3 linked regions of the Macaca mulatta genome follow. Each later gene encodes a partner of the first gene's protein in a complex. Links are inferred from orthologs where the notes say so. Each region holds a gene or a part of one and is shown on either strand. Other genes may lie near its edges.

What was found.
Region 2: ANP32A (region 1) and TREX1 share a complex: the UniProt entries of both Homo sapiens proteins name them as parts of the SET complex. The link is inferred for Macaca mulatta from reciprocal best matches to the Homo sapiens genes ANP32A and TREX1.
Region 3: ANP32A (region 1) and NME1 share a complex: the UniProt entries of both Homo sapiens proteins name them as parts of the SET complex. The link is inferred for Macaca mulatta from reciprocal best matches to the Homo sapiens genes ANP32A and NME1.

The regions. Positions count from the first base shown.
Region 1 is NC_133412.1:46,393,095-46,403,527, forward strand, and holds the start of ANP32A (acidic leucine-rich nuclear phosphoprotein 32 family member A), read right to left. Parts: upstream 6,647-10,433; 5' UTR 6,501-6,646; coding exon 6,447-6,500; intron 1-6,446. UniProt on the Homo sapiens protein: Multifunctional protein that is involved in the regulation of many processes including tumor suppression, apoptosis, cell cycle progression or transcription. Promotes apoptosis by favouring the activation of caspase-9/CASP9 and allowing apoptosome formation.
Region 2 is NC_133407.1:111,869,835-111,879,773, reverse strand, and holds TREX1 (three-prime repair exonuclease 1), read right to left. Parts: upstream 4,526-9,939; 5' UTR 4,396-4,525; coding exon 4,081-4,395; intron 4,028-4,080; exon of another isoform or gene 3,941-4,027; intron 3,623-3,940; exon of another isoform or gene 3,598-3,622; coding exon of another isoform or gene 3,586-3,597; coding exon 2,653-3,585; 3' UTR 2,608-2,652; downstream 1-2,607. Other genes in the region: SHISA5 (protein shisa-5), read left to right, coding at 507-622, 776-988, 1,163-1,242; ATRIP (ATR-interacting protein), read right to left, coding at 4,700-4,767, 5,170-5,422, 5,591-5,671, 6,117-6,208, 6,368-6,504, 8,792-8,878, 9,739-9,939. UniProt on the Homo sapiens protein: Major cellular 3'-to-5' DNA exonuclease which digests single-stranded DNA (ssDNA) and double-stranded DNA (dsDNA) with mismatched 3' termini. Prevents cell-intrinsic initiation of autoimmunity.
Region 3 is NC_133421.1:58,847,081-58,857,345, forward strand, and holds the start of NME1 (nucleoside diphosphate kinase A), read right to left. Parts: upstream 6,409-10,265; 5' UTR 6,359-6,408; exon of another isoform or gene 6,297-6,358; intron 4,393-6,296; 5' UTR 4,389-4,392; coding exon 4,263-4,388; intron 1-4,262. UniProt on the Homo sapiens protein: Major role in the synthesis of nucleoside triphosphates other than ATP. The ATP gamma phosphate is transferred to the NDP beta phosphate via a ping-pong mechanism, using a phosphorylated active-site intermediate.

The sequences.
Region 1 (10,433 bases):
GCTCTGAAAGCTCAAGCAGGTGTTTTCCAGTGGTACTGAAGAAGGGGGCCAGGCGCACTGGCTCACACCCGTAATCCCAGCACTTTGGGATGCCAAGGTGGGCAGATCACTTGAGTCCAGGAGTTTGAGACCAGCCTGGTCAACATGGCAAAACCCCGTCTCTACAAAAATTATAAAATAAATAAATAAAGGAAACAAGTCTCATACTGCTAGAGGAAAAGAAAAAAAAAAAAAAGAAGGATGGCCAACTGTCTAAGTCTAGAGTAAGTCACCCTGAGAGGCTGGTGGTGCAGCAGCAGTACGAGAGAGGGAACTGGGGTTGTGGTTTGCTGTCATAACACAGGCTGCCGTTACGGGGACTAGAATTTGTCCCCTTGAATTTATCTCCTCCTTCCCTTGACCTGGCCAATTTTATAACCATTCCTTCTGTTCATTAGCTCAGGCATAAGAGGCTAGAGGGAAAAACTGTTCTGAAACTCAAAGCCACTATGCTGCTGGTTCATTCCCCAGGAAACACACATGGTAGAAAAGCAGCAGGCCAAAAACTAGAGATTCCAGGATTATCTGTTGTTTTCAAAGATCTGTGCTCTGAAAGGCTGATGTCAGCCACTGGGGCCCCACCTTTGGTTCAAGCCTCAAAGCCCTAACTGTTGCAATCCAAAGCTCCTTCTGTCTGAGATGACATCTAGAACCTAAGAGTGACCATTCAACTACAAGATACACAGAAGGCTTTGACATGTTCTGGGTACACAACGAAGAATTTCAGTTGGCTATACAGAACTCTAGATGAGAAGTGCTTCATATTAAACCAGTAACAAGGATAATTTCTCTTCCTGTGGAGGTTCCTGGGTTGAGCCTGATTTCCACTAGGCGCCAATTACTTAAAGGGCACAGAACACATAAAAGGACTTAAAAAGACCCTGAGAGTACCACCCAAATATATGGCTTGCCATTTGCTTAAACAAAGCAAAACACCAGATCCCAGGAGCCAATCTACTGAACCACCTTTTCACCAAACCTCTTCTGCAAAGGAGACAGATAGTAAACTTCATCAAGAGCCAAAATTGAGAACACTACATAGGCACTTTTACAAGAGAAAAATCTAACACATTTCCACAATTCTTTTATTGATAAAGTTCAGAATATATTGAGTACTTTTTTTTTTTTTTTTTTTTTGCAATGAGATCTGCTAACGAGACAAGTGGATTTCTTATTTCGGGAGGGAATAACATCTCGTCATTGGGATTCAAAGATAGTGTTCCATACCATCAGACTGACTGCAATGTTTGTATGTACAAATAATTCTTAGCTCATGGCTGTACAAAAACAGGGAGCTCAGTTACAGTTTGGTGATCGCTGTGGTACTCCTGTGACTAGGGGTAGAGCCCAGAAATCCACATTTTACATGCCTCTCACATGATTCTGGTAATGGGCCATGGATCCAACGGACTATCCAATCCTCGGAGTCTCTGTCCACTGTCCACCAAAGGGGACTGTGGTTTTGCAGTGCGAGAACCCAGCTGTGCCACCTACCAGTTGCTCAACCTCTCCAAAAATCAGATGATTCATCCTCACAACAGGGATGGCATTGCACTGCTTGGCCTACCCTTAAAGAGTTGCTGGGATGATTAAGTGAGATGATCCATGAGGTGTTATGAGTATACTATGTCCCAGATACTAACGACATGCCAATTATGTTGAGTTTTTTTTGGCTGCAGATGCAGACTGCCTGAGCAGCTCCTGCTTGTCTTCTCCTTACTCAAAACGTGTCCCCCAGCACCTTAAAGGCCAGATCCACTTCAATCTAACCCACTGTGATGTGCTAAAGTAAACTCAATGCATGGCTTCATAAAATGATAATCCAGAGCCCCTGGTCCTGAACCTCCTGGCCCTCTAACATCTTCAACTAGGATGCTATCCACTCTTCATTTCAGCATCTTCAATAATAGAAAACTCATTCTCTTTCTAAGGTGGCACCACTCCAAAGCTGGAGAAGTAAAAGCTCTTCCTTACGGTATCTTAAGAAAAAAGGGTGTTTCAAAGGAGTGTGTAGAGGTTGAGTATGCAGACTGGCTGAGTTTGAGTCCTGGTTCTGCCACTCCCTGGTCACATGACAACCCCTGTATGCCTCAATTTCCATATGCACAATAATGATGATAATAATACTTACCTCACAGTGCTGTTGTGGGGACTAAATTAGTTGATACATGTAATCCACTTAAGAAATGTGCCAGACACAGCGTGGCTGCTATGTAAGCATTAGCTAATATTGTTATTATCCTAAACCATGGAGGAGCTCAAAGTAATGCCTGGAAGCACCCTGATATGTCTCGGAGACTAACACTGTCATATAGACAGCATATACTGAGAGTCATATCAAACCAGTTTTGTCATCATTTACTGATTAAATGGAATTATTTCATTTTACAGGTGAAGAAACCAAGTTTCAAAAAGGTGGGTTAAGCTCACCAGTCCAAGGTCACAAGGGCAGGTAAACGTATCCTACCTCCTTGTGGCAGGGGGAATTCAAACCCAGGTCTGTGTAATTCCTAAGCCCATCTTCATCATGGAGCCCCCCAGACTCCAAACTATCAGCAGCAGAACTCAACTGACTATGACCATACGGGAACTTCAGGCTCAATTTTCTGCCTGTGAGTTCCTGGTTGGCTTGCATAAACTGGAGTTAATACCACGCTACTTGAACCCAATTAGGCAGTAAGTCAGCCTGGAAAACATCATGCGACGTATTCCAAAGGTCAAAGTAAAAGCTGGCTTCCAAGGCAGTCTCTGCTGGACACTGCCATGAAAGTTAGTCTCTGCACAGATACCAGAGTTCAGCTCGTGAGGTGCTTAACCAGCACCTAAATACCGGCTTTTAAAAATTCTCAGAGACGCCAGCACCGGAGGACCCGACACGACGAATTGCCTGGCTCCTAAGTCAACAGCCGGAGGAAGGCGGTTTACTTTTTTCAAAAGCAAACCTTCATCCCTCTCTTTCGGTTTAGGACCTCATTACTATTGTAGCTGTCTTCCCCCAGGCAAAAATAAAAGGGCGAAGGAGCAGGTTAAGACCGAGGAGGGTTCCCCTAGCCTGCAGGGCGCTGCAACATCCACCTGAAACACGGAGCTCGACCTACCTTCCCGGAGAGCCCAGCCCGGGAGGGCGTTTCCCCAACGGATCGACAACTCTTCCCTCCCGGGGAAGAGGCTGCTGTCCTTGGCTTCAGTCAGGGCCACTACAGTCGCGTGCGCGACACCCTTCACCCCCGCCAAAAGAACCTCATGTTTAATGTTCCCCTTACTCTATCACTTCCGCCGAAAGAGCAAACACCAGAGCGAACGGTTAGTCCTTAAGGCCACATTTAACTACGTCTGAACGCCTGCAGGAGGAACAGCGAAACCCCGGAGAGGAGGGCGTGGGAGGCAGGGAGCGCGTGGGGGGGCACTTGCACAGAGGATCGTCGTCCTCCCGGCGCCGCGGCCGCCGTGACGCTCCAGCACAGCCTCAGGCCGCTGGCGCCGGGCGGAAACCCCCATCGGGGCTCAGAGCACAACTGGGGGTCCCCAATGCCGGCTCCCCCTGCCGCCTCCGCGCGGGAGGCCGTCGGGGCGATGGCGCAAGACTCCGCTCCCCCCGCCCCCCACAGCGACAACAGCCACGGTGACAAAATGGCAGCCCGGCGCCCGGCAGTCGTGCCACAGGCGCGCAGGGCCCTGGCGGCGGCTCCTGCCCCCCAGTAACGCCTGGGCGCCCTTCGGGCTCAGCCCCTGGCGGGCCTAGCCGTTAAAATAAATAAACAAACAAAAACAAATAATAAAAATAAAACCTGGAGCTCGAAACCAGCCCGGGAAGCCACAAGGCCGGCCCCGCGCGTACTGCACCCCCACCGCCCGCCTGCCCGCGCCCCGCGCCGCATGGAGCCCGGAGCCCGCATTCCGAGCCCCGCGCCCCGCGCCGGGGAGGAGGGGCGGGGCGTGCGGCGCGAGCCCCGGGAAACATGGCTGCTCGTCCTATTTCGGCGTCGCGGCATGGCCACCAGCTCCCGGAGCCCAGTTGGGAGAGGTGCCGAAGGTGGGTGTGTGGGGGGCCCGGGAGCAGCGCGGCGGGGAGGGGCGCAGGGGGCGCGCTCTGGGAGCCATTTGTCTTAAGAACGTTTAAAAAAATACAGTTCCTCCTCCCCCACCCCTTTTGTCCCTCTTTCGCTAGCTTTCTCCCCCACCCCCGCAAATGTGCAGAAAGTGCCCCCTCCTCCGCCACCCGCGCCCCACCCCGCCTCCAGGCAGGGGGCAGGCGTGTGGGCCGCGAGGCTGGGAGGCGAGGGGGCGAAGCGTGAGAAATCGCTCCCAGAACGGCGCGGTGCGCTCCCCTCCCCAACACACACACACACTCGGGGAAGTTTAAAGAGCCGGTTCGACCCGCTTTCCGGCTCGCTCCCGGGGGGCCGGCAGCGTCAGTCGGGTTCGCCAGGCCAGCCGCGCCCCCACACCCACCCGCGGCGACCCCGACCCCGCGCTCGGCGCCCTTCCCCCTCCGCGCAGGGGGCTTCCGGAAAGTACGCGGGAAGACCGCGGCCCCGACCCCCTCCCCCATCACCACACCCAGCCCCCAAACGCAAGGCGCCGGGTCCCGGCCAGGACGAAAGCGGCCGGAGAGAAGCAAACCAATGGCAAATAGTGCGGGGAAACTCCGGCCTCCTCCGGCGGCGCCCCCTACTCTCCCGCGACCGCCCCCTCCCCGCCCTGCGCGCCATAAGGCACTCGCACGTCTCCAGTCCACAGCTGCGTTAAGGCGGGGAGGGGGTAGACAAAAAGGATCTTGTTTTCAAAAGTCTCACTCAGGTTTGGGGGGAGGAACTAGGGAAAAGAGGAAGCGAGGCCTGTCTTCGCGGGGATTCGGGTTTAACGGGCTGGAGGAGCGACAGGCCAGCGCACGGTGCTGCCCAAACTCCCAACTCCGTGGAGCTCGGGCCACCGAGACTGGGGGCGTCCTCCCGCCAGCGCGTCCCCGGTCCCCCCGAGGGGCCAAGAGGGGAGTTGGCCGGGGTCTCCGCCCCAGAGCCGCCAACTCGCCGAAAACACTCAGGTTTGAAAGCGAGAGGGAGGCAGAAATAAAAACCAGCGTTCGAGTCACCCACCCTCACCTTCCCCCTCCTCGGGGGTGGGCTTTCGCTCGAGCCTGGCGATTCCCACCCGTGTAAGTTTCCTCCGGCTGTGCTCCCGCCGCTGCCCAATCAATAACGGCGGCTAGCGGGCAAACTCCCATCCTAGAGCTGCGTGTTTGCCATGCCCGCATAAACGTGGACCCAGCCAGTACCCACCACCGGCGCCAGCTCCGGGCAGCTCGCGTCCTGACAAAGTTTCCCGTGCCCATTTATTAAGCAGGCGCCGAATGGCTGCCGACGAGCCCAGCCCTGAGAAAGACGGGCCGGGGGTTCGAGCTGGGGGACACCAGGGCCCAAAGGCTGGCATCTTGGGGAGGCCGGAAGGAGCTGGGGCGAGGGGGGACCGGGACGTAGCCTTTGGGCAACTTGCACCAGCGATCACTGGAGGCAGGGAGGCGCGGGGATTATCTGTGCCTTTGCACGTTCGAAAATCCCTCCCCCTCCTTCTAATTTATCCTCCCTTCGGAAGGAAAGGAAGAAACATCAGCATCTGGCCCGAAGGTGGGGTGGAAAGAGTGAGGGAGAAAGAGGAGGAGAGGAAGGGAGGCAGAGAAAGGGAGGGAGGGAGAGAAAGGGCGCGTTCACGAACACTACAAAGTTACAAATATGGCTCCCCCGTCTCTCGCCTCATCACTGCAAAGAAATGAAGACGCACTTTAAACTCCAGCCATTCCCAACTCCGCTGCAGCCCCCTCCCCACGCGCTCTCCCCGGGGCCCTCGGCCCACATTTATCAGAAACTAAACCGGACTCGCGAAGCCCCAAACTTATTGTGTGTGCGAGCGAGCGAGCGAGAGAAAGGGAGGGGGGAGGCGCGGGAGGGGGGCGGAAGGGGGGATACATTTATAAAATGTAAAACCCCCTTTTTTTGTTGTTAAATTCAGGAGGCAGCCCCTCTCCTCCTCCTCCCTCGTTAATCTTCCCCCCAGACGGAGTCACGGGAGCAGCGATCTGCGAGGGTGATTTCGCCTCATTCTCTCCGACCCAAACGCGTGCGCCCGCCGGCCCCCGATGGGTGCACACTCGCACGCACACTCTCGCACCCACACTCGCACACGCGGGAGCACACGCACAGGTAGTCACACACCAAGGGCAGCGGCGGCGGCAGCCGGAACATGCTCGGATGGCATTGCAACCCCCCAGCCTTGCCAATTCGCTTGCAGTCCGACCCCCAAACCCGCACCTCCCGGGCGCCCCCCCCGAAAAAAGTGCCTCCCCCCAGCGCGCACACACACACACAAAGTAGGAGAATGGACCGACAGAGATATTTTTGGCAAATGCTCACATCAGAGGGCGTCCTGTTCCGCAGCTCTAAATGAATCCGTCTGCCCATCTCCATCTCTCGCGCTCTCTCTCTGCAGAGGCTCCCGCGCCGGCGGAATTCAATCAATAAACCCCGAACCCACGGCCGCGCGTTTTAGGACTTTGAAGGCTCAACCAGCTCCGCTCGGTTCTCGAGCCCCCAGCACCCGCGGCGCACACTAACCTGATCGCCGTGGAGGCGGGATCTGCGGCCCCGCGGACGAGCGGCAGCGGCCCGAGCCAATCGCCGCCGAGGGTCTCCGGGCAACAGCCAATGGCAGCGGCGGCGGGGGGGGAAGGGACCAATGGGCGGGCTGCGCAGCCGGCCAGGGAGGCTCGGCCATTTGGTTGTGGTGCCGGAGACGGACCCCTTTAGATTTCGGGGCGGCTGAGGAGCGCAGCGGCTGCTCTGTGGCTGAGTGAGGGGGGTGGGCGGAATGGCGGGGGAAGGGAAGGTGACTGTGCCTCGAGGGCCGAGCCGCCCGGCCTCGCCAGCCCGCCGCCGCCTCAGCGTTCGGCCGGGGGCGGGGCCGCAGGTGCGTTCTACGAGGGGGAGGGGCGCGGCCGGAGGGGTCGGGTCGGGGTCCCAGCCCGGCTGAGGGCTTCGCGAGGCGGCGCGACGGGGTTGCGGAAGGAGGCGGGAGGCTTGAGGTCTGGGGGCCGCGGGCTGCCCAGCGGGAGGGCAGATGAAAGGCCTGGAAGGAGGGGAGGGGTCAGGGTGCAATGCGGGGAGGGGCTCGTCGTGTCCCGGGTCCGGCGGCTAGCGCTGGGGAACGTGGCTGCCCCCGTCACCCCCGCCGCGGCCGCCCAGCCCGCGCCCCTCTTCCCCTCCGGCCTCGTCCCGGTCAGGCCGCCGCCGTCGCCACCCGCGTATACATAAGTCAGTAAAAGCAAGATGCTTCCACTTTTGGATGACTTACCGCGCGGTCGCGACCCTTCCCACGAAGAGGCTTTTCAGTTTGCTGTCACATAAGGTCAGCTTGGAAGAAGTGATCACCAGGAGACACCCAAGATCTTGTTTAGGCAATAAAGGAATGAAGACCATGGATTAAGAACTGTTGCTGGATATACAGAATATTAAAAGGTGGAAAAGGAAGGTGCTCATAACTCCTGGTTTTCTGGACGAAACATAATTTATGGGCTTTATAGACCTAGTGAAAGAGAACGGCGCACGGTTTATTCTAATCGTCCACCTGAGTCATTTGGTTCGGTTTGGGTTGCCAAGGAGGCTCTAACTGGAGCACTTTCTCCAGGTTTTTCGGCGTGCTTGCCTTGGGTATTTTTGAATCACATTAAGTTTTAAGAGACCCTAAAGCCCTGATGCCCACTGGGTTACCGACTTATGGCACTAAGTTGGCTGCCTGTGGCTGTTAATAAACCACGGGGATTGTTGTCAACAAGGACAGATACATCCTTACCTTTCCACACAACTGTATTTTAGTGTCTGTTTCTACATGTCTGCACTCTTCCCCACACACCTCAAGATAGTTTTTCCGGATACATTGTGTTTATTTTTCAGGAACACGGGTTCAAAGGAGAGAGAAACCAGTATGTATGTTGCAAAGTTAAAATACTGTTACATAATAGCAATACAGTTTCATTCTTAGACATATAAAGTTGAGGAGGAAGTAAAAAGTGACAATGTAAATAAAACACATACAGAATGCTTACACTGGGGAAGAAGCTGTAGTAACTTTAATGTTGCAACCTGATGGATTGCAAGTGTAAAGCCCTGCAACTAAGGATTTGACTGAGGAAATTCTTTCAGATAAAATGATAAATGGAATTTGAAGTCTGATGTTTACTCTGAGTAGGTGGGAAATGCAACATAAAAGTTAGAAGTCATTGTTTTATTTCATCTGGGTATAAATAGTATAATTTATTTAACTTGTTGACTTACCTGTCATCCTCAGATTTTGTTAATCTTACTGAAGCCTATTTGTATAGTTGGAATTTATTCTAAGTTTTATTGGCTTCTTTGTAATACACGAGAAACCCCAAATTACCGATTTATGCCATTGAGACAGTTGTTGTTTCTGGAGATGGTGTTTAGGGTTGTATTCAAACAGAACCTTATCAAAACAGGTCAATATAGTGTGTATGATCTGTGTAACACAGGAGTCCTGAAGTTTGTGTTCTCTTTGATGGTAAATGTTCATCTTCTATTTAAAAGTTGAACCACAGTTAAGACCACGCTGCTAGCAATTCGATATGAGACAGTGTCTTTCCAGAGGAGTAATCCCTTAAAAACCAACCAATCAAATGCAGAGATATGCCCCATCCAACTCTGCTAAATAGAAGCAAATAGCTCACTTTATTGTACAAAGACTCAAGAGGAAGACTTAGAAGCCCACCCCCTCTCCCATTAAAGAGAAAGTACAGAAACAAATTAAAGTTAGAGTTGAAAAAATCATGACCTGATTACTAAATCACAACATTAAATGTGACAGTTGTTTTTAGAAGCATCTTACTTTTATGCATTTTGATAACTTTTGTATTAATGTTAGAAAATTGAAAGAAGGCTTCACTGGATGTCAGTCATTACAGAGACTGAAATATCTAAAAGTATATGTATAACCAATTGAATACTTTCCGCTTTCCTTACATACTTGAAATAAGAAATTTTCTTTTGCTTTTACAAATACATCTATTTGTAAGAAAATTTTCATATGATTTTGCTTTTTTATTATTAAAAAAAGGAATATAGCTCAGCCAAAGCGGAGCTGTATTTGCCCCACACAACATGACCAAATACAAAAAAACAAAACAAAACAAAACAAAAAAACACTGCTCTTACATACCTTATTTTACAAAGTTGTTTTTTAAATTACATTTTATTGTATATTATAGGAGTAAATAAGTGTTCTAAGTGGCAATGCAGAAAATATAGAAAGAAAAGAAATCCTATATCAAGGAATCTTGGCTGAATTTTGAAACGGAGTTGGGAACAGGTAAGAGTTCCTATCTACTGTGTAATTCTACATTAGGAATTGTGTTTGAAAGATGTAGAATCTCTAACCTCTGAAACTAGGTTTGAGTCACACTGAGAAAAATAAATGAGATACAATTCAAAGTTTGACCCCCTAGAGAGAGAGATGGCCAAGGGAGGAAAGATCTTCCCGCCTTCTAGAATATCCTCCATCAAGAACCATTCCAAATAAATAAGCAGCCTATTTTGTTCTTAAAGACCTGTGATCTATGAGTATCTTTAGGCTCTTTTGAAATGTGTAGGAGAGTACTGTTTTACAAATAACCATATCGTTACTATTGCCATTTTATTAGGTTGGTGCAAAAGTAATTACCATTTTAAAAAAAGGCAAAACCACAATTACTTTTGCACCAATAGCACATTTGCCCTTGTTTGGTCTCTGAAGATGGAGACCTTTTGGTTAACATCCTTTTTATGAGTCAAGCTAATATACCCACAGCTCAGCTTTTTGTTTTTGAACTTGAATCACATCACTGGCAATCGGCCATAGTACTCTTACCTACATCATGGTTCTGCTGCTTGAACCCCAAAGACAATGACATGGAAAAACTCCAGCTTAATTATATTCTCTTTTGTTTGTATATGTAAATAGTTTTTAGGAATGTAGATTATTATTTTGAAATCTGTGGTAACAAATGTGAAAACTACTACATTTTTATTTGAATAGCAAAATAATGTTGAAGCCTGGGATCTAAAAAGTTTATTCCTTATTTTCTTTTGCTTAATAAAGTATTTGATAATTTAGAAAAAGGATTTTTTTTTTTTTTAATGATTGGGTAGTTACTTTATCAATGGGTTGGTCATGGACAAAAAGCACTGTTGGATGAAAACAGTCATATATGTGACTTTTAAAATTAATAAGCCAGGCATGGTGATGTGCCCCTGTAGGCCCAGCTACTTGGGAGGCTGAAGTGAAAGGATCGCTTGAGCCCAAGAGTTCAAGAACAGCTCAGACAACATAGCAAGACCTGTTTCTCTAAA
Region 2 (9,939 bases), on another chromosome or scaffold:
ACTGGCCTCTACCCTCCTGGGGCTTCTCTCTCTCTTCACCCCGTGCTTCCTGAGCCATTTTACCTTCACTGTCTGCCTCTTACACTGGACTGTGGGCTCCCAGAGGCCGGGGCTGGCTGTCTTGCCCACTGTTAAGTTTTTTGACTCAAATCACAGTGCCTGACTGTGGCATGTGCCCTATACCCATCTCCTCATCACTTGGTTGTGAGGTGGACAAGATAGATGTATGTGTGTGGGGTGGGACTTGAGCTTCCTCCCATGCCTCTGAGGGTGGGACAAGCGGGGCAGACCCGGGGCAAGATGGTTATAGAGACTCACATATACCCCAGTTTACACACAAGGAAACAGATTGAAACAGGTGCAGGCCACCCAACAAGGAAGTAGCTGTATCTGTATTGCCCAGACCCCTTCTGGCAAGAGGGGCGTGCCCTGGGAAGGGGTGGAGTGTGGATGCTGGTCTCGGGGGAGGGTCGAGGGGCCCCAGGTCACATCCAGCTCTTTGGCAGGTTCGGAGCAACCTTGGCCGTTGGCCTGACCATCTTTGTGCTGTCTGTCGTCGCTATCATCATCTGCTTCACCTGCTCCTGCTGCTGCCTGTACAAGACGTGCCGCCGACCACGTCGTAAGTGTGCCTACCCTGCTCCACTGTGACCCCCTGGGATGGCAAGGGGAGCTGACCAGGCCCTGCTTTGGCTAAGCTGGAGGGATGGGTGGCAAGCCTGGCCCTAATACCTGGGGAGGTGGAGGAGGGTCCTCACTGGAATTCTCTTTGCAGCGGTTGTCACCACCACCACATCCACCACTGTGGTGCATGCCCCTTATCCTCAGCCTCCAAGTGTGCCGCCCAGCTACCCTGGACCAAGCTACCAGGGCTACCACACCATGCCACCTCAGCCAGGGATGCCAGCAGCACCCTACCCAATGCAGTACCCACCACCTTACCCGGCCCAACCCATGGGCCCGCCGGCCTACCACGAGACCCTGGCTGGTGAGTGCCCCTGCTGACTCTAGCCCTGCCCAACTCCCTGAGTATCTGCCAGCATCCCTCGGGCACCCATCCCAGAGTACATCACTGAATAGGCCTCTGCCCCTTTCTGCTCGCCTGCCACTCATACGGCAGCCCACCATGCTCACAGCCAACCAGGATCCTCTCTGCTTTCAGGAGGAGCAGCCGCGCCCTACCCTGCCAGCCAGCCTCCTTACAACCCGGCCTACGTGGATGCCCCGAAGGCGGCCCTCTGAGTGTTCTCCGACCTCTCTGGCTGCCACTTGGTTATGTTGTGTGTGAGTGGTGTGCAGGCACGGTTCCTTATGTCCCAGCCGTGCTGTGTGTGTCCTGCCTGTATATGTGGCTTCCTCTGATGCTGACGAGGTGGGGAATGATCCTTGCCAGAGTGGGCTGGGACCAGACTTTGTTCTCTTCCTCACCTGAAATTATGCTTCCTAAAATCTCAAGCCAAACTCAAAGAATGGGGTGGTGGGGGCACCCTGTGAGGTCGCCCCTGAGAGGTGGGGGGGTTCTCCAGGGCACATCTGGAGTTCTTCTCCAGCTTACCCTAGGGTGACCAAGTATGGCCTGTCGCACCAGGGTGGCGCAGCTTTCTGTATGATGCAGATGTGTCCTGGTTTTGGCAGTGTAGCCAGCTGCTGCTTGAGGTGATGCAGGCGAAGCTTGGGATCTGACCAAGTTGGGCTTTGATTCTTTAGGCAGATGTCCCATTGTTCCCTGGAGCCTGTGTCGTGCCTGTTGGGGGTCAGGCAGCCTCCTGATGCCAGAACACCTCAGGCAGAGCCCTTCTCACCTGAGAGTTGTCTGCCTGGACTGTCCCCTGTCCCTGCATCTTCCCTGGGACCACCCGGAGGGCCACATCCACACACAGCCTAGCTGCCCACAGGGAGCTCTGCTGCCCTTGCTGGCCCTGCCCTTCCCACAGGTGAGCAGGGCTCCTGTCCACCAGCACACTCAGGTCTCTTCCCTGCCGTGTTTTCATTTTATTTTAGCCAAACATTTTGCCTGTTTTCTGTTTTAAACATGATAGTTGATATGAGACTGAAACCCCAGGATAGTGGAGGGAAATTGGCTCAGAGGAGACGGACAACCTGGCAACTGTGAGTCCCTGCTTTCCCCGACACCAGCCTCATGGAATATGCAACCCTGGTACCCCAGTCCAGGGTGTTCTGGCAGCAGGGACACCTGGGCCAAGGGGCCATCTGGACCAAAGGTGGGGTGTGGGGCCCTGGATGGCAGCTCTGGCCCAGACATGAATACCTCGGTGTTCCTCCTCCATTACTGTTTCACCAGAGCTGTCTTAGCTTCAAATCTGTTGTGTTTCTGAGTCTGGGGTCTGTACTCTTGTTTATAATAAATGCAATCGTTTGGAGCTGCTGTCCCCTTTCTTCCTGGCTGCTGGGATTGGGATCAGGCTGTACTGTTTCCATCAACCATTCGGGCTTCTCGTGTTTTCCCTACTTTTATTGAGCTCAGATAGTTGATCATCCTGCTAGGGAAAGTGAGGGACAAACACTATGCCCTCCTCCCCAGGTCCCTGAGTGTGGGCAGAGGTCTGGACTGCCAAGAAGGGTAGGAGCCAAGTGACCACTCAGTGCTGGAGGACGGGGGGGGTCTTTATTCTTCAGATTTTCCTTCTTGGCCTATTCCCCAGGTGCAGCCAGGGATAGTCCATACAGTGTGGCCACTGCCAAGGTCAGGACGGCCAGTAGACCCAGTGGTGCCAGCAGCCCCTCCCTGGGTAGGGCTCCAGGGTCCTTCATTGGAGGAAGATCCTTGGGTCTCCTTCTCTCTCCAAGGCTGGGACTAGTGTTCCTGGTTGTGGCCAGGTGTGCAGGGGCTGTGACAGCAGATGGTCTTGGCTTGGTCCCAGCAGAGGCTGTGACCCCATACATGGGCCTGATGGTGCTGAAGGGCCTGGCGTGAGCATCTACCCACCGCAGCAGGGCCTGTGGTCTCCACTGACAGATGCTGAGCAGGGCCAGGACATCACCCTCAGCCGTGTGCGAGTCCGGAGGGGACTGCCCATACAGGCGTGTGTAGATGCTGCCTAGGCTGTAGCTCTTCCTTGGGCCGTGTTCTGAGGGGCTGTCTGCTCGCTCCACGGCCTTCAGCGCAGTGATGCTATCCACACAGAAGGCACCATCCAGAGCACTGGTGAGGCCCAGCATAGCCAGCTCTGCTTGGAGCAGGGGGAAGTCATAGCGGTCACCATTGTGTGCCACCAGGCACCAGGGCTGTGGCTGGCGCCGCAGGAAGGCTAGGAGCAGGTTGGCCAGGTTGTCATCGAAACATTGACGCCCATGCGCTGCCAGCACAGCTGTGCTCAGACCTGTGATCTCGCTGGCTGCAGAGCTGCAGGCTTTTCCCGGAGCCACGCACAGGGAGAGCTTGTCCACCACACGCGGTGGTGGAGGAACTGTGGGAGGTGGTCCCTGAGAGGTGGGGGGGCTCTCCAGGGCACATCTGTGGACAGCCAGCAGGCACAGCTCCGTGACCTTGGGCTGGGAGAAGGGCAAGCCAGTGGCCTCCATGTCGAAAAAGATGAGGGTCTGCATGGGCCCCGGGGGCAGGGCCTGCGAGCCCATGGTTGGGTAGGACCTGCCGCTGAGCCTGGGGAGGAGCATAGGGTGGGTGTGTGAGTGCCCAGTGTTAAGATCCGAAGGGGAGGGAGTGGGGTAGGGGGTGGGCAGAAGCACATCTCAGGCCTTCCCTGCACAATCCTGCCCTGTCTGTGAGCTCCAGGGCCCATTTTCAGGCAGGAAGTTGGAGAGGGTGGGGTGGTTTCCTTAGTGGGACCAGCACATTCGACTGTCTGAGAGGGCTCCCTCTTCACATGACTTGGCCCCTCCCCTAGTGCCCCCTTAGTCTGGGGTCGGGGAACCCATGGCCCTCCTGCCCTGCGCCATCCCCTTGGGGAGCCACACTTACCGTAGCAGGCAGGCAGGCAGGCAGTAGTGACTTTGCTGCACACTCTCCCGCGGCTCTCGCTGGCAGCAGTGGCGGGAAGTGAAACTTGGTATGGGCCCGCCTACAGCCCCACGTGAGCCAGGCCCGCCCTGCTCGTCAGCCTGCCTGGTCTGTCCCTCTCGCCAACATCCGTCCCCCCACCCCCACTTCCCCGCCCCCAGGGGACCCCAGAGGCCTTCTGAGATCCACGGCTGTGGCCTGATGGTGGCACAATGCACCGGGCCATCACACCAATGACAGGCAGCTGGAAGGACCAGGGCAGTGGCGCCAGACCAGCTCCCGGTGTTACACACTGCTGGGAGCTCCTGCTGCAGCCCTTTCGTGCCCACCTGTGGGTCCCACTTTTCCAGGCTTTCCTGGTTTAGGCCTGGGCCAAGAGCCACCTCCTTCCCTGCCACACAATGGTTTCTTCCCATGGCCCCAGCCCAAAGCAATGACTCAGGACAATTCCACAGGCAAGGCAGGGCTCCTTCCTCAAGGCAGATCGGTTACCATGGGGACTGGGGATCAGCAGCAGCCAGGGACAGGAAGAAGGATCCCAGCCACTCAAGGTCCCGTCCCGGTCCCGCTCCACCCCTCCCACTCCGCCAAAGAGATTAGACTCAGGAAACAAGGCCAGCCGGTTCTCTGGGCAGTTCCTGCTGGTCACTGCTTTAATCAGTTGATGTGGTAAGGAAAGGAATGGTGCTGGTGCCACCATGTGGCTGGACACTCAGGGCCTCAGCCACACTCCAACTCGGGGTCGTCCACATCGGTTTCCGCGGCACAGAGGTCATCCAGGGCTGCCTCTGAGACAAAAAGGAGAGGTTCTTGGTGAGGGCCCAAAGGTGCCAGGGCCTAGGGCGGGTCCCACCTCTCCTCCCCCAACGCCCGCAGGAACTAACCAGTCCCTTCCAGACCCAGGCCTTGCTCCCTCAGCTACTGCAAACAAAGTGATACAAAAGCAATTCAGACACAGGTATTTCTGGAAAAACTGTGGCTCTGCCAGGCACATTCAACAGATAGGAGCAAAAGGCAGCCCAATATGCTTGGAGAAGAACTGGGGCAGAAGATAAAAGAAAATGACCCCAGTGCCGGAACAGGCTGTAATGGGCAGGGGCCTGCTGAGGGGATGCCCAGGAATATGAGTTGTTGGGGAACCTCAGGGAGAAGCCGTGGGGGCTGGGCGGGAGGGCCTCTGGCAGGCTCACCTTCACAGTCGGTCACGTCAGGAAGCCCGCGGATGAGCATGCTGACCCCCGGCATCACCTGGTCATACTGATGCAGGACCTCCACGCAGTGCATTATGAAGAGCTTGTCCTTCTGGGACAGGCCGTGCAGCAGCAGCACCGTGTCCCGCAGACAGCGCACTGTCCGCCTCTGCTGGTCAGTCCTTGGGGGCCCACCTGCCCTCCGCACTGTCAGCCACTGTCTATGCAACATCACCGTGAGCGCTCTGACCACCTGGGAGAGAGGGGGCACAGACTGTCTGGTGCCACCATGGCCTGCACCCTAACAATCCATTCAGCCTAGCCACCTCAGGTGAGGGGGTTTGCAGTGGGGTCTACAGTCCTTGCACAGAGTCCCCTTACCACCCACAGAGCTGCCAGCTGTTGGCCCCTGCCTACTCACCTCTACATTACACTGGCAGTTGGAGCCAGTGACTAGGGGCAAGGGGCTCTGCACACCAAGCTTAGCCAGGAGCCACACCACCTAGAACAAGAACAGATCAGCTCCATCGTGGGCAGAAGAAGACCAGTCCCTGTGAGGGCTTTCTCAAGCTTCTGTAAGAGTTCACTTACTTCAGCAACTGCTTGTCTGCACAAATGGGGTCCAAGAAGTGGTGTGGGACCTTCCCAGGGCAGACCCAGGACGAGCACCCATGTCTCACCAGCAACCCACCTGCCTCCAGCCCCCCATCCTGCCCCCAAGCCCCAAAGCCAGGACAGGTTCAGTCATCAGGCAACTCTGCCAATTCCTGTCTGCATTGCATCTGTGTAGTGCACAGCCCCCAAACTGAGTTTACCTCTTTAGCTGCTTGATATACTCGTTACTAAAATGAACTAAAGCTCCTTTTCTCCCCAGTAGAAAGAGGAGATTCTGTCGGTTCTTAGGATGGGGTGGGGACAGTGTCCAGAAGGGGCTCTGGAGTTTTTACCTCTTGTTCCAGCTGGAGCCATTGTGTCTCTGAGGCCACTCTGTCAGGCCGTGATGTGATGTACATGTACAGCAGCAGCAGGAGGCAGTCTTCTGAAAAGGACAGTGCACCTCTCACTCAGGGTGCCCTTTCTCATGAAGAGCCTGGGCTACATGCTGCAGAAGCCCTCCGAGGCCCTTGACCCTGTCCCCACCCCAACACTTCCCTTGATCTGCAGGAGCAGTCCAGACGCCCGCCCCACCCTGCTTTACCCGAGTGGGAACAGAGCTGAGGTGCCAACTGGTCGTGGTCCGCAAGGAGGGAGAGGAGCTCAACAGCCAGCACCACGCCAGGCAGGGGTGTCTCTGGGCTGAGGCACTTTGGCAGCACTTGGAACACACACTGGAACCTAAAAGACAAGGACCCAGAGAGAAGTGACACTCCCCAACCACAGCTTCATAACCTACCCTCACATTCCACTAGAGGTAACAGAAAATTGAGCAAGGCAATACGAACAGGTGAGTTGGTTCAGCCAGACTTGGGTTTCAGTGCTGGCCTGACCTCCACTTACTTACTATGAAACTTGTTTCATGTGAACAAGCAGGCACTTCCACTGCAAGATGCTGCAGCTGAGAGGACAGGCCCTCATCTGGCATAGCACTGCCCAGGAAGTGGGATGACCTCCTGGACCTGGGATGCCTGGCTTCCATATGCTCCCAAACAGGGATGCAGGTCCTAACTTAGGTGGGAGAGAAATGTTCTGTGCCCATAGAAGGATCGGCCAGGGCTCCACAAGTGATAAACATGGCCTTGGCTATAGTTGGATCTTATGAGACCTCTTGCAGGGCAAGAAAAACCATTTTCTCTACTTGTTAGAAAACGTATCTGCTGCCAGTAGGAGAATGTGCCTACTGTGGGGTGTGCAGGAGGGAGGAGTTCTGGGCACACTGCCACAGGTCTCAGGGGCAAAAGGAAAGCTATTACCAAGAAACCAAGCCCCAAGGCAACTGCTGCTGTTTGCTAAACCCACATAGCCTGGAGAAGCACGGTGGACTGGCCTGGTGGGTGGAGAGAAGAGCAATTCTGAAACACCCTGTGGGGACTGGCCAGCTGTGTACCCCTTCAGACATCTGCAGTTTCTTGAGCACAGAAGGTCAAGATATCCCTCAGTATGTCCTTAGGAAGCAAGGTCTCACTATGTGGGGTGAACTCACTTTAGAGCAAATCCTGCACAGCAGACAAAAAGTCCAATGCTTTTTAGTTGCCAGGGTGTGCAGACCTTTGCGGGAAGCTTCAATTTAACATGGTTGTTACCTGGTTTCATTACTGGGCTGTAAGAAGCCCAATATCTGCCACTTGCAGAAGGTATTGCAAGGAAAATCCACCTTTATATACAACACAGTGGTTTCCAAGTTATTTTTTGATAGTGTAATAACTTTTTCTTTTTTTTTTGAAATGGAGTCTTGCTCTGTGGCCCAGGCTAGAGTGCAGTGGCATGATCTCAGCTCACTGCAACCTCTGTCTCCAGGGTTCAAGTGATTCTCCTGCCTCAGCCTCCCAAGTAGCTGGGACTACAGGTGCCACTACACCCAGCTAATTTTTTGTGTTTTTAGTAGAGATGGGGTTTCACCGTGTTAGCCAGGATGGTCTCAATCTCCCGACCTCATGATCCACCCGCCTCGGCTTCCCAAAGTGCTGGGATTATAGGCGTGAGCCATCACGCCTGGCCCATAAGAACCTTTTTAAATGAAATTTTATGAAGAGCCCCAGTACATGAAATAGATAAGCACCCAGCCATGGCTATGTTTTGAATGTCCCTGTGGACAAGCTCAACAGGAATGGAATAATGGTGTGTCTACCACCAGCAAAAACATGGTTTCTGGGATTCTTTTTTTTGAGATAGGGTCTCACTCTGTCACCTAGGCTGGAGTGCAGTGGCATGGTCACAGCTCACTGCCACTATGCCTGGCTAATTAAAAAAAAAAAAAAATTGTAGAGATGGAGTCTCGCTTTGTTGCCCATGCTGGTCTCAAACTCCTGGGCTTAAGTGATCCTCCCACCTTGGCCTCCAAAAGTGCTGAGATTACAGGCAGGAGCCACTGTGCCCAGCCTGGGATTCATTCATTTAACAATTATTAAACAAATAACCAAGGCTGGGCCCAGTGGCTCACACCTATAATCCCAGCACTTTGGGAGGCCAAGGTGGGTGGATCACCTGAGGTCAGGCATTTGAGACCAGCCTGGCCAGCATGGTGAAACCCTGTCTCTACTAAAAATACAAAAATTAGCTGGGCGTGGTGGCAGGCACCTGTAATCCCAGCTTCTCAGGAAGCTGAGGCAGGACAACTGCTTGAACCTGGGAGATGGAGGTTGCAGTGAGCTGAGATTACACCATTGCACTCCAACCTGGGCAACAAGAGTGAAACTTCGTCTCAAAACAAAACCAAAAATAAACAAACAAAACAGCCACTATGAGCTGGGCCCCTGCTGGGCACTTGAGTGCTGGGTCTGCCTGATCCCACTGCCTACACTATACTGCGGTGCTGTGTCCAGCTCTGAGTACCACCTTTAGCATGGGCCAGACCAACCAAAAATATTCAGATGGAAATAGATCAGGAAACAGCAGTGCTGAGCTCAGAGATGAGATGGTTTCAGATACATTCAGCCAGTGGAATCATTCCAACATAGAAACTGGCCCTTTGGTAGAGTGCTGAGAGGGAGACTGGATTACTGGATGAGGGGATGGGCTGGCTGTGTTCACAGTTCTCCCCAGTCTTGTGGCTCTGGAATCCCAAGGGAGGAATTTATGATCAGTGTTCATTCGCTAGGTTCACTGTAATACTACTACCCACAAACCATAAGAGGAACATGCCACCCCAGATGCATGCTAAAGATGGGCACAATGACAGGCAGAGACTCCAGCAAGGTCAGCCTGCAGATCCTCCCCACATCCTCTGCTTCCTTAGGGAACCCACTAAACTTCAACGTGCTTGTGATATATGGTCTTCACCTTACCCACATCTCAGGTTCAGAGGCCCCTTGTCTTAGCCCTTGTTCTGGGACAGGGCCCTCCTCCACAGAGGTTAGCAGCCTCCTTTAATCATGTGTGCCTTCTGCTTACCTGTTGTTCAGAGGCAGAATTAAACCAAATAAACGGCCGGGCGCGGTGGCTCAAGCCTGTAATCCCAGCACTTTGGGAGGCCGAGACGGGCGGATCACGAGGTCAGGAGATCGAGACCATCCTGGCTAACACTGTGAAACCCCATCTCTACTAAAAATATAAAAAACTAGCCGGGCGAGGTGGCGGGCGCCTGTAGTCCCAGCTACTCCGGAGGCTGAGGCAGGAGAATGGCCTAAACCCGGGAGGCGGAGCTTGCAGTGTGCTGAGATCCGGCCACTGCACTCCAGCCCGGGCTACAGAGCAAGACTCCGTCTCAAAAAAAAAAAAAAAAACCAAATAAACCACTTCCTTGGTTCTCCCATTTGGTCCCACTTCCCATCACTTCAGAACTCCCTGAACCAGGCCTTAGAACTAACTAGTGTAGATAAGTCAAGATGTGAGCAAAGTACAAGAGACACGGGTTAGACCTTAACAGGTCAGGTGAGACCCACAAAGAATCATGACTCCTATGCTGCTTTATACCTGGGCAAGAAATCAGAGGAAGTGTTTTCGGCTAATTTCACCAAAACCTTAAGGCACTGGGTCAGGACACTGGCTTGAAGGTGACCTGTTGCTGCAGAAGAGAAAGCCAACAGGTGAAGAAGCATCTTCAACAGTGGGTGCTGTCCTTGGTCATCAGCAACCCCCCTTGGGGCTGAGGTCATATCTCCATCACTAAACCTG
Region 3 (10,265 bases), on another chromosome or scaffold:
TCCTGGACTCAAGTGATCCTCCAGCCTCGGCCTCCCAACGTGCTGGGCTTACAGACGTGACCCACCATGCCTGGCCCTCAACCATCTCATTTTAGGCAGGAAAATCAACAATACAATAAATTTCCATTCCCAGAGCAAACCCCAAATAAAATGTTAGAAGGACACCAGGGAGCAAGTCTTGGCATTTGATGAGCAGCAAACTAAACCAGGCCATTACCCAGGGATGCTTCACGTTTACTCAGAGGATAAAAGCCCAGCGTGATGACCGTGTGATTCCCAAAGGTATCTGCAAATCACCCAAAAGTAAATGACATCTAGCAATACATAATTCTGCTGAAAAATGGAAAATTAGCCGGGCGTGGTAGCGGGCGCCTGTAGTCCCAGCTACTCAGGAGGCTGAGGCAGGAGAATGGCATGAACCCAAGAGGCAGAGCTGGCAGTGAGCCGAGGTGACACCACTGCACTCTAGCCTGGGTGACAGAGCGAGACTCCATCTCAAAAAAAAAAAAAAAAATGAATTAGAAGTTCTCATACTGCAAGGCTAATATGTGGGAACAAATCACGTTAGCTAGAGAACAAACTATCTGCTTAACAGTTTCAACTCAATTTGGCTGTGTTCTCTCTTGTACTGCATATGTGCTTGTTCAAATCTAACAGGGTCCCATGGTTTTTCCAGCTCTGTGGTACTGCGCTGTATGACGCGTATCGCACACATTAGAGACACACACAAATGTGGAGACTGGCAGCCCAAAAGCCCCATCATTCAGCCACCAGTTATCACTTGCCAAAGTAAAATTATATGGCCACGTAATCATTCCGTGGTAGGGATCCAACCCTCGCCCTGTCCTTTCCTAGCCAAATGGAAGACTTTTGTCGTGAAGTCTCCTAACAGACACTGAGGTGACCCTCCCTTACCAGAATACTCTTTTAATTCTATTAATTGGTTCCAATTATCTTTTTGTTGGTTTTGTTGTGTGTGTGTTTTGAGACAGCGTCTCTCTGCCACCCAGGCTGTAGTGCAACGGCATGATCATAGCTCACTGCAGCCTCACACTCCCAGGATCAAGCAATCCTCTTGCCTCAGGTTCTCAGTAGCTAGGACTACAAGTGTGCACCACTACACCCGATTAACTGATTATCTTTTTTTGAGATGGGGTCTTGCTCTGTTACCCAGGATGGAGTGCAGTAGCTCGATCTCCATTCACTGCAACCTCCACCTCCCAAGTTCAAGCCATCCTCCCGCCTCAGCCTTCCTGGTAGCTGGGACTACAGGCATGGACCATCACACCCAGCTAAACTTTGTATTTTTAGTACAGATGGGGTTTCACCATGTTGGCAAGGCTGATCTCGAACTCCTGACCTCAGATGATCCGCCCACTTTGACCTCCCAAAATGCTGAGATTACAGGTGTGAGCCACCACACCAGGCCCTAACTGATGATCTTTAGTCTGCCAAGCAGATCATAGGCTTTTTTAAGGGCTTGGGGGTTGGGAACCTCAAGTTCTCCCTTGCTTCCTACCTCCACAGCAGATTTAAATAGCCCTTTAGAGTCATGGCCGCTATCCTTCCATCCATTCTTCACCAAACCCATATATCCTTAATAGGAAATTCAGGCCAGGCGCGGTGGCTCAAGCCTGTAATCCCAGCACTTTGGGAGGCCGAGACGGGCGGGATCACGAGGTCAGGAGATCGAGACCATCCTGGCTAACACGGTGAAACCCCGTCTCTACTTAAAAAATACAAAAAACTAGCCGGGCGAGGTGGTGGTCGCCTGTAGTCCCAGCTACTCGGGAGGCTGAGGCAGGAGAATGGCGTAAACCCGGGAGGCGGAGCTTGCAGTGAGCTGAGATCCGGCCACTGCACTCCAGCCTGGGTGACAGAGCCAGACTCCGTCTCAAAAAAAAAAAAAAAAAAAAAGGAAATTCAATGTAAAGGAGAAAATGTCTGCGCTCAGGGGTCAGAGAGACTCAAGTTAAAATCCCAGCGGCATCACTGTATGCTATCAGGCACATCACTGAACCTCTTCAAGCCTTAGGTTGCTCATCACTAACAACCACGAACACAGGAGGAAGTACTTCTCAAGGCTGGCATGAAGACTAAATCAGGAAACATATGTGCCCAGCATATGGTAAATGCCTGATCAACAACACATTCATTTCATGTTACCTTCTGCTGTGATCTATATGTGTCCCCAAAAGTTCCCATGTCGGAAATTTAATCCTTGATGCAACAATGTGGGGAGGTGGGGCCTAATGGGAGGTTTTAGGTCATGAGGGCTTCACCCTCATGAATAGATTAATGTCTTATCTCAGGAGTGGGTTTGTTATAAAATCAAGGTCAACCCCCTCTTGCTCTCTCTCTAGCTCTCTCTCACTCTTGCACTCTCTTGCCCTTCTATTCTGTTATGGCATGATGCAGCAAGAAAACCTACATTAGATGCCAGCTCCTAGAGCTTGGACACCACATTCTCCTCTCGGCATGAACATCAGTCTACCCTCTTTTACGTTAAAGCAGTTTTCTTTTATTTTTTTGGAGATGGAGCCTCCCAAAGTGCTGGGATTACAGGCGAGTCACCACACCAGCCCTAAAGCAATTTTTCTAAAACATCACATAGTAAGTAAATTGAAAGTCAAACTAAAATTTAAAATGTACTAGAAAGGTCCAAAATTGATGCCCTTTTAGGAAAACATACTATCCCCTATTTATTTGAGAATTGGAATTTTTTTTTTTTTTTTTTTTGAGACGGAGTCTCCCTGTTGCCCAGGCTGCGGTGTGGTGCAATCTCGGCTCACTGAAATCTCCGCCTCCTGGGTTCAAAAGCAATTCTTTTTTTTTTGGAGATGGGGTTTCGCTCTTGTTGCACAGGCTGGAGTGCAATGATGCGATCTCAGTCACTGCAACCTCCACCTCCCCAGTTCAAGCAATTCTCCTGTCTCAGTCTCCCGAGAAGCTGGGATTACAGGCGCATGCCACCAGGCCTGGCTAATTTTTGTATTTTTAGTAGAGACAGGGTTTCATCATATTAGTCAGGCTGGTCTCCAACTCCTGACCTCAGGTGATCCGCCCGCCTCGGCCTCCCAAAATGCTAGGATTACAGGCGTGAGCCACCGCACCTGGCCGGTTCAAGCAATTCTTTTTTTTTTTTTCCTTTTTTTTTTGAGACAGAGTCTCGCTCTGTCGCCCAGGCTGGAGTGCAGTGGCGCGATCTGGGCTTACTGCAAGCTCTGCCTCCCGGGTTCACACCATTCTCCTGCTTCAGCCTCCTGAGTAGCTGGGACTATAGGCGCCCGCCACCTCACCCGGCTAGTTTTTTGTATTCTTTTTAGTAGAGACGGGGTTTCACCGTGTTAGCCAGGATGGTCTTGATCTCCTGACCTCGTGATCCGCCCGTTTCGGCCTCCCAAAGTGCTGGGATTACAGGTTTGAGCCACTGCGCCCGGCCGGTTCAAGCAATTCTTATGTCTCAGCCTGCCGAGTAGCTGGGATTACAGGTGCCCGCCCTGACACCCAGCTAATTTTTGTATTTTTAGTAGAGATGGGGTTTCGTCACGTTGGCCAGGCTGGTCTTGAACTCCTGACCTCAAGTGACCAGCCCGCCTTGGCTTCCCAAAGTGCTGGGATTACAGGCATGAGCCACTGTGCCTCGCCCAGCCAAGAATTTGAATTCTTATCTCTAGAATGTGTTTAAAGAGGGGTTACTGGTCAATCAATCCCTTGCATTTATCAGAAGATTGCTTTGTAAGTAGCTTGCAGGTACATCTGCTCTCTGCTATTTCAGGAGAACCTCCCCAAAACCAAAACCATAGTTTTCCTCCACAAGCTCCTATGGTACCTAATAAATGCTAGACAATAAGCATTGATGAGTGTCTAGTAATTGCTGATGGAAGATTTTCTTGCTAAAAACACAACCTGTCTCAAAGGGGGAAAAAAATCTCTCTAAAATTATCTGCTTAGGAAGCTCAAGACCAAGAACTCAAACATGCTCAGCTGAGTCAAAAATTACAGAGATGCAGTCATATGTGGAACTCTGCACTGCTTTTCCCATAGCAATGCACCTCATATTACAGAGACTATTTTGGAAAATCCTAAACGTAGCCAAACGCTAAGGCACTGAGGTGTTTCCAGGTCTCTAGATACTTGTGTCCACTCTGTCCACTCTACCATGAAGAAGTTTAAATAAGAAAGCCGGGGAGAAACAGGTTAATCACAGTGTTCTCCCATACTATGAAGAAATCAAAATGGGAACAATGAAGTCCACTCACTTGCATGAATTTCAGACCAACAAGGCGGAATCCTTTCTGCTCAAAACGCTTGATAATCTCTCCGACAAGACCCCGCTGGACCCCATCTGGTTTGATGGCAATGAAGGTCCGCTCACAGTTGGCCATGGTCCTGGGGATAGGCAGGTAGAGGAATGAAACGGCGCTGAATCACTTGCCTACATCGTCATCCTCCTCAAGCGGATTATCCCATAAAGCTGGTTCAAATCTGTCAGGTCAGCTGCAGGTCTCCCTCTGCTAAAAACCCAGTTCCTCCCCAGTCCCCTCATCTATGAACAAATATGTCAATGTGGGAAAGGATCCAAAAGCAAGGACTATAATTTCTATCCCATTTGATTTATTTTATTTTTGTTTTGGTTTTTGTGGTTTTTTTAGAGATGGGGTTTCGCCATGTTGCCCAGGCTGGTCTCAAACTCCTGTCCTCAACTGATCCACCCACCTCAGCCTACCAAAGTGCTGGGATTATGGCCATAAGCCACCGCGCCCAGCCCCTTTTTTTTTTTTTGGTATGGGGTCTTGCTCTGTCGCCCAGGATGGAATGCAGTGGCGTGACCTTGGCTCACTGCAACCTCCACTTCCCAGGCAAGCTATTCTCCTACCTCAACCTCCTGAATAGCTGGGACTACAGGCGCGTGCCACCACGCCCAGCTAATTTTTGTATTTTTTTTTTTTTTTAGTAGAGATGGGGTTTCACTATGTTGGCCAGGCTGGTCTCCAACTCCTGACCTCAAGTAATCCACCGGCCTCAGCCCCCCAAAGTGCTGGGACTACAGGCATGAGCCCCGTGCCTGGCCACCATTTGATGTAATAAGCTTCTTTTAAGCATCTACTGTGTACCAAACACTGTGGTGGAACTAGGATACAGGAGGTAAAAACTATCTTTCTCAGTAATCAAGCTTGGGAGAAACTACACTGATACAAAGTTTTACTAATGTGAAAGTGATGTCTGGCACAAAGCAGTAAGAAATAATAGTTTGACTTAATGTCACATCCATAGCATTAGGGGTTTTAGAGAATATATCTTTACAACCCCCTTCGTTTTACAAATGAGGAAACAGGACCAGAGCACCAGAATGAAGGCCAAAACCCAGCATTCCCAACCCATTAATCCATTCTTGTAATGTATGCTACACTTTACAATGCAAAGAATATTTTGACTAGCCAATAAACGGTGGGGTGTGGGAGAGCTACAGACATTAGGAATACCTGATACGGGACATCATACTGAAAGGAAGCCTAGAGAGTACCTATTCTGTCCAGATCCCTCATTTTACAGAATACTGGCTCATGACGTACCCTGTATCACATCTTGAGATGGGAGGCCCCTCGCCTTGAAAGACAATCTCTGATGTACACAGCAGCTCCACCTATTGGCCCCACCTTCCTGTCCTTTAGTTAACCTCTTCTTACAGCATCTTAGCACCGTAGCCCAATTTTCTGTTTGTGTGTCTGCCTCCCCACCGGTCTCTGGCCTGCATACCAGGCTGATTTACTCCTGTGTAGGTCTATGGTACCTAGCCACAGGGCCTAGCAGTCAATAAGAGCAAAGAAAATCATTTATCATCACTCTGCAACTTCCAAAAAAAAAAGAGACAAAGCCCAAAGACTGCGGAGAATCGCCCGATGGGGTGCGGGGCAAGAATATTGTCCAGGAGAAAACAGGACTAAAGTGCCAGAAATAGATCCTAAAAATGTCCCTCCACATCGATCCCGGTGACACAACAGTAAGCACTCAGTCCTTGCTGAATGAATGACACACACGCCCGTCATTTATTCAGCAAGGCCTTATAGAACGCCAACTCCGTTCCCGGCACTGCTCTCGACAGAGGCAAATAAGGCACAGCCCTGTCGTCGCGGCCTGACGAGAAAGGCGGCCACCGACAAAGGAGAGTCCATGTGGCATGGGATGTGCGCCGACCGGTCTGCACTTGTCCACAGGCGCTCCCTGCCCCTCCTCCCATCCGATCCTCCTCGCCGCCTCTTAGAGCTGAACTGACCTCTTCACTAACTCCTCACCTAACTCTCTCCGGCGACTACACTCCTTTCCTTTCCCTCTCAGGATCCCGAACACCTCTTACCCTTCCAGCTGCTTAGGCTTGAACTCCGGCTGCAGCCGCCGGAACCCGAAACGCGCCGGGGACCCACGTGGTTCGCAGCACTCGCACGCACGGAACGCTTCGGCGCAGATCCGCTGCCGGAGAGCCCATTTTGCAGAACACCGCTCGCCCACGCTTCCTCTTGGGAGTAGGCAGTCATTCTAGGGAACAACTTTCTACTGTTTAACTTCCGGCGCTAGCTTTTTCAGACCTTTCCGGTTAGCTGCTTGCTTTTTTCCCTCCACCCCCGGGTTCTCTGACTCACTTCCTTTGTTCGCGAGCAAATTGGCTTCCCGAGAGGTGGCGCTCACACTTTGCATGACGTCCAAAAAGCGCCTGACCTAGAAGTAAACTTTTCGCTCCCGCTTTGTGTTTATTCACCTTTTCTAACCTGTCAAGCAAAAGATTTTATTGAATACCTACTATGTGGACGCATTATTCTAGGCCCTAGGGATACAACAGTATGCTTTCTTGGAGCTTCTGGGAGGGACAGGAGTATAGGAAAACAAGAAACAGATAAGCAAATTAATATGTAATAGATCTCATTATGTAAGTGCTGTGAAGAAAAGGCCAGAGAAATCTCTGAGGAAGTGATAATAGAATGGACCTGCATGAAGTGAGCGAGCCAGCCCAGTGATTCCCTGAGAGCCAAGTATTACAGTGGATATCGAGTGGTAGAAAATGCCGTTAGAATAGAGCCAAATCTTACGCTGTGAGATGCCAATACGGATTTTGCACAAGGCATCACATCATCACTGACATACTTTTTCAAAAAAACATTCCCACTGCTCTCAGGGGAGAGGTACAAAAATGGAATCAGGAGCCTTTTCAACAAATGATGCTGGGTAAATTGGACAAATATAGACCCAAAGAACCTCAACCTAAACCTCACACCTTATACAAAATTCACTCAAAATGAACCATAGATTTAAACATAAAACAATAAATCACTGATGGGGAAAAAAAAAGAGTTAAAAAAAATTCTCAGGACCTAGGGCCAGGCAAATAGTTTTTAGACGACACCAAAAGACCAATCTATAAAAGGAAAAAGTTGATAAATTGGAACGTACTGAAATTTAAAACTTTTTTGGCCTAGCACGGTGGCTCACGCCCATAATCCCAGCACATTGGGAAGCGGCGGCGGGAGGATCACTTGAGCTCAGGAATTCGAGACCAGCCTGGGCAACATGGTGAAACCTCGTCTCTACTAAAAACACAAAAATTAGCAGGGCGTGGTTGCAGGCGCCTGTAGTCCCAGCTACTCGGGAGGCTGAGGCAGGAGAATCGCTTGAACCCGGGAGGCAGAGGTTGCAGTGAGTCGAGATTGCGCCAGGGCACTCCAGCCTGGGTGACAGAGCGAGACTCGGTCTCTAAAAAATAAATAAAATAAAATAAAATAAGTAAAATTTCATTATTCTCCTGTTTTGTTTTGTTTTGTTTTTTTTCTTTTTGAGACCGAGTCTCGCTCTGTCGCCCAGGCTGGAGCGCAGTAGCACGATGTCGGTTCAGTGCAAACTCCGCCATCCGGGTTCAAGCGATTCTGGTGACTCAGTAGCTGGGACTACAGGTGCCTGCCACCACGCCCAGCTTTTTTTTTTTTTTTTTTTTTTTTTTTTTTTAAGACGGAGACTCGCCCTGTCGCCCAGGCTGGAGTGCAGTGGTGCGATCTCAGCTCACTGCAACCTCCGCCCCCCGGGTTCAAGCGAATCTGCTGCCCCAGACTCCCTAGCAGCTGGGATTACAGGCGCCCACCACCACACCCGGCTAATTTTTGTATTTTTAGTAGAGACGGGGTTTCACCATGTTGGCCGGGTTGGTCTCAAACTCTTGACCTCGTGATCCGCCCACCTCGGCCTCCCAAAGTGCTGAGATTACAGGCATGAGGCCCCACACCCTGCCCTAATTTTTGTATTTTTAGTAGAGACAGGGTTTCGCTATGTCGGCCAGGCTGGTCTCGATCTCGTGACCTCAAGCGATCCATCTGCCTCAGCCTCCCAAAGTGCAGGGATTACAAGCATGAGCCACCGTGCTCGGCCTTTTATTTATTTATTTATTTATTTATTTATTTATTTATTTATTATTTATTGAGACGCAGTCTTGCTCTGTGGCCCACGCTGGATTGCCTTGGCAGATCTCAGCTCACTGCAACCTCTGCCTCCCGGGTTCAAGCCATTCTCCTGCCTCAGGCATGCACCACCACACCCGGCTAATTTTTGTATTTTTAGTAGAGACGGGGTTTCACCATGTTGGCCAGGCTGGTCTCAAACTCCTGACCTCAGGTGATCCATCCACCTAGGCCTCGCAGAGTGCTGGGATTACAGGTGGGAGTCACTGTGCCCTGCAGAAAAGAAATTTAAAACCTTTGCCCTGTGAAAGACCTTTTGAAGAGGACAAAACAACAAGCTAGAGTGGAAGAAAATATTTCCAAACCACATATCAGATAAAGGCCTTCTCTTCATTTGATGATTTGAATATTTGAAGAACTCTGAACACTCAACAGGTTAAAAAAATCCAATTAGGAAATAGGAAAAAGACATGAATAGACATTTCATTGAACAGGATATACAGAGGCAAGAAAGCACATGAAAAGATGTTCAACATCATTAGCCACCAGGGAAATTCAAATTAAAACCAAAATCAGATACTACTACCTGCTTACCAGAATGCTATGATGAAAAGTAGTGATACACCAAACGCTTAGGAGGTATAGAAACTGGATCCATATTACTGGTAGGAATGTAAAATTGTACAGCCCCTCTGAAAAAGTTTGATAGTTTCTTATAAAACTAAACATGTGCTTACCATATGACCCAGCCATTGCACTCTTGGGCGTTTATCCAACAGAAATGAAAACTTGGCTGGGCGCGGTGGCTCACGCCTGTAATCCCAACACTTTGGGAGGCCGAGGTGGGCGGATCACAAGGTCCGGAGTTTGAGACCAGCCTCGTCAATATGGTGAAACCCTGTCTCTACTAAAAATACAAAAATTAGCCAGGTGTGGTCGTGGGCGCCTGTAGTCCCAGCTACTCGGGAGGCTGAGGCAGGAGAATGGCATGAACCCGGGAGGCGGAGGTCGCAGTGAGCCAAGATCGCACCACTGCACTCCAGCCTGGGCGACAGAGCGAGACTCCGTTTCAAAAAAAAAAAAAAAGAAATGAAAACTTATGCTCTCTGTTCATACAAAAACCTGTGCACAAATGTTCATTGTAGCTTTATTTGTTATAACTGAAAACTGGAAGCAACCCAAATGTCTTTCATCATGTGAATGGTTAAACAAACTATGCTACATCCATACCCTGGAATGCTACTCAACGAAAGAAAAAAATAACAAACTATTAATACATGCAATATACGTAATTCCCTTGGATAGATTTCAAGGGACTTATGCTGACTGAAGAAAAGCCAATCATAAAAAGTTACATATTGTATTATTGCATTTATTTAACATTTGTGAAATATTAATAACATAAGTATAGACATGGAGGATAGACTAGTTTAGTGGTTGCCAGAAATTAGAGATAAGGGAATGGGCCAGGTATGGTGACTCTCACCTGTAATCCCACCACTTTGGAAGGCTGAGGTAAGAGGATCCCTTGAAGACAGGAGCTCAAGACCAGCCTGCACAGTATAATAAGATACTATCAGAGGCTTTTAAACCAGAGCAACTCCATCTTAAATAGGGGCTGGGTAAAAAGAGGCTTAGACCTACTGGGCTGCATTTCCAGGAGGCTAGGCATTCTTAGTCACAGGATGAGATAGAAGATCGACACAAGGGCTGGGCACGGTGGCTCATGCCTGTAATCCCAGCACTTTGGGAGGCCGAGGTGGGGGATTACCTGAGGTCAGGAGTTTGAGACCAACCTGGCGAACATGGCGAAACTCCGTCTCT